Xenopus tropicalis: one gene and its partner. The protein of the gene in region 1 binds, or shares a complex with, the protein of each later gene. Links are inferred from orthologs where the notes say so. Each region holds a gene or a part of one and is shown on either strand. Other genes may lie near its edges. The genes, in order: rims2 and unc13a.

Region 1 (2,688 bases):
ATTTTTCTGAGAGTGGAAGTCTGATACCAAAGAATATGTTTACAAAAAGGAGACAAGAAATCCTGTGTTTCTTTTGATAGAGGACTCAGTACAGCGTTTCTGTGAGTGCTTATGGCTGTATTTACATAGACCTTTCTTATAAAGCTTACTTAGTTTTTACCTTTCCTTCTCCTTTTAACTTGAGGAAGATCCAAAAAAGCATTAGCTAATGAATATTCTCCCCTTCAGTTAAAAACACATGAAAACAGGCGCACTCTTATAGTGTAAAATCAAAAGTAAATAGTTTAATACATAAAAGTTGCACTTGCAATTGTTGCAGTACAATACGAATCAATCAATGAGGCCCAACGCGTTTCGTCATCAAGTGACTTCCTCAGGGGAATCTCATATCTATCATAGATAATCATTATTTTAAATGTTTATGGGGTATTTTTGCATTTGTTGCATATTGTAAGCATTGGCGCAGTAGATTGCTCCTCAGTCACTTCAATCTGTTTCTCTTCCTTTCTAGCACCCTATGTTAAGGTGTATCTCTTAGAAAATGGAGTGTGCATAGCCAAAAAGAAAACAAAAGTAGCAAGAAAAACGCTGGAGCCTCTATACCAGCAAGTGTTAGCGTTTGAGGAATCACCACAAGGGAAGGTCCTACAGGTAAGGTTCTAACATTGATTAGCAAAGTAGCTCTGTAACCCTCCTCCTGCTTGTCTGTCTTTCTGTCTGTCTATCTGTCTATCTTTCTATCTATATCTATCATTCTATCTGTCTATCATTCTATCTGTCTATATCATTCTGTCTATCTGTCTGTCTATCTAACGTTCTATTTTTCTATCATCTTTATCTGTCATTCTATCTATCTGTCTATCTATTGTTCTATCTATCATCTATCTATTTATCTCTCTGTCTGTCTGTCTAGCTATCATTCAATCTCTATCTATTTATCTGTCTGTTATCTTTCTTTCTCAGTATATCTATCTCTATCTGTCTTTCTAGTCTCCATTGAGTTAATGTTCTGGTCTATTATTTTACTATAATTGGACATTTTTCCCAAGATCCCTTATCTTATGTTAAACGATAAGCTACTTGGATCAAATTCCCAGTAAAGAACTGTTTTGAGTGCAGTGTTGTTACTGTTTCGCTTATTATCTTTCTCTTTTCCTTTGCTCCATCAGATCATTGTTTGGGGTGACTATGGACGCATGGACCACAAGTCCTTCATGGGGGTGGCTCAGATACTTTTAGATGAACTGGACCTATCCAGCATGGTGATTGGATGGTATAAACTTTTCCCCCCTTCATCTTTAGTAGACCCAACGTTGGCTCCACTCACTAGGAGAGCTTCCCAATCATCTCTTGAAAGCTCCACGGGACCTTCTTATGCTCGTTCATAGCATCTGTGAAAAACAACTTGTCTGTGCAACCAGCGTTACAAAAAATGTAAAATCTCAACAAAACAAAAACAACAGGTCGCAAACCCTGGTAAACACTGCATGCTTAATGTTGTGTCTTCTGAGCCTGTTTCTAGGGATTCCAAGCGATCCTGTGTTCTCAGAGGAAGTTGCACACATTGTGCGCTAAAGAAGGCTCTCAGGGGAAGGAGCGGAGTTACGCATGACCAACAGGGTTGGAGACCAGAGAAGTTCAGTTCTAGTTGAATCTGAAGCCATGGATAACTGACACTATTAAAAAAAAAAGTCAATCTTTCATGCAACAAAAGTCATAATCAATGACATGTCATATTGTTGCTAGTTTTTTGGGTTTTTTTGGAAAATGTATTTCATTTTTGTATTTGACCCCAAAGACCGGGTAAGCCGAAGAATGAGATCTAAAGCAAGCAAAGCAGAAAACTAGGAGACCACAGGAGAAAGAGATGGCCCAGTGTTATTAAGGACAGTCGTTACGAGATATTACACAGCCCATTCGCTTTGGAAAGGTTGGCGACGCGTTTAACGCAACGAGCCCACCGCGCAAGATCTCTCCAGGGAAGATTTTTTTATTTCTGTGGTTATTCTGTACTGTATGAAATTTAAAGAAAAATTATATATATATATATATTTTTTTTTTTTTTTTGCATGGACATGGATCTAAGTAAACACTAAAATGATTTTATTTGGGCTGCAACTTGCAAAAAAAAAAACCACACAAAAATAAACGACAAAATAACAAAAAAGAATCAGCCATTTTCAACAATTTATATGATTTTTATGAAAACAAAAAAAAAATGTCACTAGTGCATGTTATAAAAAGGGAGAGAATGCAACCGCGTGATACGATGACAACAACCACCTTTCTCATTCTTAACAACCAATCACGGTCTGTGGTTTTTTTTTTCGTTTTTTTTTTTTCTTTTTGCAGACTTATATTCGACAGAAAAACAAAACGAATCATTTATAGCAAATATTTAAAATTCTGTTGATGTGACGAGAAATAAATGTAACATATAAGATTTATTTAAATGTAAAAGGTCCAAGCCTTGTAAAGTTGAACATTTCCGTGCAGAATTGTACATTGTCCCTTTCTGTCACTTCTTCTCATCCATAGACATTTTTGCATTTTGTCCTTCCGCCCCATGTCCCCTCCCCCCCATCTGATCACTGATTCTAATGCTTTTTTGATCAAGGATTGCAGAATTTTTTCCTCCCTGCATTCTTGTATTGTCTGATAGAAAATAAACAAAAGGAAAACGTTACT
Region 2 (3,838 bases), on another chromosome or scaffold:
GACAAAGTAAAGTCATGTTATTGTACAATACCTTACCTTTACTATTATTTAGCATTAGCTTTACGTAAGCATTAGTTTCATAGTGTGGCATATTATTAATGTACTTACTAGCTCTTCATTGTTTAAGGTGCTTGTTGCAAGAGCAGAAGTAATCCCAGCCTTCCGTGACTGAACCAGTGACTAAGGTGAGATGAATGAGAGATTGGAACCAATAAGGCATGGATACTAGACATATAAATACAATAAGTAACGTATCAACTGAAATATTTGCCAACAGGGGAGTTTTTTTTACTAGGTCATGGGCAACATGAATATACCTATACGGCAATTTCTAGTTTTTAAAAGAAAAATACTATTCAAGAGCATAATGATATCAAACTATGTTGTTTTTTTGTAATTTCTTCCTAATAAAGTGATCTGTTAGGAATAAGACTTTCCACCTTTTTGTTGTGCAAAATGTTGGTCATTTTTCACTTGAAGACATGAATTGCATGTGAAATGCAAAAAAGGAAAAGTTGTGTTCACTGCTAAATGTTAAACCTTTAAAGGGGGGTCCGATGAGAGTGTGACCACAAAATTCACCCCCTCCTAAAGGTTTAAAATGTAGTGGTGAGCACAACTTTCCCTCTTTTGCTATAATAAATACAGTAGCAGTGGCCAGCTCCTTGTTGCAGCTCCCACCCTTCCCAGCTACAGTCAGGTGATCCCAGTAGAGCCAATAAAAGGCCAACTATTTAGGAATTTTAAACTTGAAAGCAAGCTGCAGGTAAAACATAGTCTCTGTGTAATATGTATAATGAAGCAGTGGAATTCTTAATGAATCAGACGAAAGTGATTGTAGTACTGGCCAGACTGGGGATGACTTTGACGTAGCTGGCCTATATTGCAATATATTGACAAACAATCCATGTTTTGTTTAAAGAGGAGGGTATTTTTTTGGTGGCTTGATGCATGGAATGTCTTGTGTCCTTAGAATGTTGATAATGGGTGAGTGCAGAGGACCTTTATTGCAGATCATATCCCACTGTTATTAGGCCCTGCTCTATTGCATGCCCAGCTGCATTTAGCTACATTTTAAAACAACTGCAAAAAAAAAAACTCCTACCGCCCCTATCTAATGCAGCAATCTCTCAATATCCTCTGGTATGTTTATTATTTTGCACAACTATAATATATGTCTGTATATGTAAATGTCAGAGCTTCTAGTACCTCAGATTACTTTCTGTCCTCCCTGCTTATACAAGGTATGGCTTAAACAAGAAAAAAAAGGTGCAAGAGGGATGGCACGTACCCAATGATGATGATTAATCACTATTTGTAAGATAGCATCATATGTGGTGCTTTATGTCCAGGCTCTTTTTTAAAGGACAAGGCAATGCAAAATATAATTTTTTGCCTAATAAAAGAAACCAAAATTCTAAGCAGCTTTGTAATATACATTTATTACAAGTTTGTAATGGTTGTTGAGTTATTTGTATATATAAATTGCTATTAGAAGCAGTGTTTGCCTGTCCTTTTCTATTCTCTGCCCTGGTGGCTCTGACTGTTGCAACAATGTAACACAAGGCAGCAGACTTACAGACTTGACTTGCTGGAGAAGCAAGACCTTTGCAACATTGTTTAAAATGTTACAACCAGAAGTTCAGCAAATGCTGCTTTCAATAGCAATTACATTTACAAATAATGTTTAAAGCGCTACAAATTTTTAATTATTTCATATTGGAAAGTTGCTTAGAATTATGTTTTCTTTCATTATGCAAAAAATTATTTTTTTTTAAGAAATGTCAGTTTGCCAGAACACTTGCTACATTTGCCCAAAAACCCATTAAAGTGGACCTGTCACCCAAGCATAAAAAGCTGTATAATAAAAGTCCTTTTAAAATTAAACATGAAACCCAAATTCCTTTTGTTATTAACACATCTATACCCATTATAAAGGCATTTAAATATCCCAGCTGTCAATCATATATTGCCTGCCCTGCCTCTATGCCTTAGGCATAGAGGCAGGGCAGAGCATTACTTAAACTTTTCATTCAGCACTCATTTTTCCCCTCTCTCCTCATCATCTAATTGTGTAGCCAGTGCATGGACATAGGTATTAGGTCCCCCATTCTGGCCCAGAAACAAGATTTTGGGGTTATACAAAGCTTGTCTTTATAACAATGCCCACAAAATGGCAGCTGCCTGCTTGCTGTGATTGTGAATTCCTGACGACTGAAGGAAACCAGATTTATATTGTTTATATGGTGTAAGTGAAGGTTATTTTGCTTGACAAACACAATAAATAACAATTTGTAATTATTTCTTAGGGTGACAGGTCCCCTTTAATAAGATGTTTGTTTTTGATAAGGGGACCAGTAAATGCTACCTGCTGATTGGTTGCTATGGAAACTCAATTTTACAATATAGCAACTTATATAGCAACCATATAGTTTACATTCTTTTCTTTTGTGAATTAAAAAGAATCATTTCTATGCAGTTTTTATATAAACATAGTTTATTGCGGGGAAAGGGGCCACAAAGCCATCCTCTACTTACCATTGCCTTGGAACATTAAAGGAAGCATTAAATGGAACAAAATGATTAGAACATTTCCATCAAAGAAATCTATGCAATTAGGATTAGTTGTATATGAAAACAGTCATGTCTATTCAGTAATCAACAATGAATGGGATGGCAAAGTAACAATAATGGTTAAAGTGGTTTAGGGCACCCCTTTTTATAATACAGTTAGAGAGCTATATTTCATTCATTAAATCGGAACACTATAGGAAGCATGAAGCACCTTCACCAATTAAAGAAGAAGGAACAGTCAAAACTGGGTGTGTTGATTCATATTTAATGCCACCTGGTTCCTCAGTTAGGAATAAAACATTGCTTGTTATTATATTTTCACTCCATTTTACATTACATTTTTAAATTGTTATATTTATAACTTCCTGCTTTACAGAATGCCTATGGACACCTATTATAAAACTACTGAAAACACTATTTTGTGGTACAAATAAATATTTTTCTGTTCGTCACAGAGAAACAAATCCCCTTTCTATTTATTCCTATGGGATTTTTATAAGTGTATTTATCAAATGGTAATATGTTGATATATATATGCTTGTAAAAATCCCATACTGATGAATAGAAAGTTGGTGAGTTTTGATACATCTGCCCCATATTATTTGCTCTGTGTAGGCCCATTAGAATCACCTTTGGCACCACCTCAAAAAGAATACCAAACCTATTTTTAATCCTAATTGTAGCAATTGCCCAAGATAGATATGCCCAGCATCTGCAATGTATGCATCTGCATCTGCTGGATGACTATGTTCGCACACTATATCATGCTTTCAGTTGCAGATAAGCAAAACTGGTTAATCTTCACTGGATATGACTAATATGACAAGTCTTCACTATGTTGCTGTTGATAATTCTCATTTCTTCCAACTGATTTTAAACCTGTTTATTTAAGTAGGGCTTAGGACCAAGAGCAGACTTACCAGGTCACTGACCAACGGGATTGGTTTCCTCTTTCGTATGTCTGGCATACTGTCTATAATTATAAGACCACCAGCTGGCCTATGGTAAAAAGAAGACATAGGCATAATAAATGTAAACAAATGATAGATAGATAGATAGATAGATATATGATAGATTGCAATTAACACACACATATATACAGTACGATATAGTGTACTGCACTGTTAAACTGCGAAGTCTCTAAAAATTTTACTTACCCATCCTTAAACCAGAGGGATTTGGACATCTCCCCAGTCCCTTCACCTCGTGCCTGTGAAGTAAGTTTAACATAAATAAAGACAAAATCCTAAACCATTTCAGTGGG

Evidence for each region.
Region 2: the proteins of rims2 (region 1) and unc13a are in contact, whole or in part, in a crystal structure (PDB 2CJS), measured with the Rattus norvegicus proteins. The link is inferred for Xenopus tropicalis from reciprocal best matches to the Homo sapiens genes RIMS2 and UNC13A. Residues at the interface, in XP_063118965.1 of Rattus norvegicus: Asp102, Gly103, Cys104, Ser109, Gln112, Val123, Leu125, Ser127, Asn128, Lys129, Val134, Met135, Trp136; in NP_074052.2 of Rattus norvegicus: Tyr23, Ile36, Trp65, Leu69, Ile70, Trp71, Asp72, Thr73, Met74.

What each region holds. Positions count from the first base shown.
Region 1 is NC_030682.2:132,097,846-132,100,533, forward strand, and holds part of rims2 (regulating synaptic membrane exocytosis protein 2), read left to right. Parts: intron 1-511; coding exon 512-651; intron 652-1,169; coding exon 1,170-1,388; 3' UTR 1,389-2,688. UniProt on the Homo sapiens protein: Rab effector involved in exocytosis. May act as scaffold protein. Plays a role in dendrite formation by melanocytes.
Region 2 is NC_030677.2:98,801,875-98,805,712, reverse strand, and holds part of unc13a (protein unc-13 homolog A), read right to left. Parts: intron 3,785-3,838; coding exon 3,732-3,784; intron 3,574-3,731; coding exon 3,495-3,573; intron 2,545-3,494; coding exon 2,539-2,544; intron 181-2,538; coding exon 109-180; intron 1-108. UniProt on the Homo sapiens protein: Plays a role in vesicle maturation during exocytosis as a target of the diacylglycerol second messenger pathway.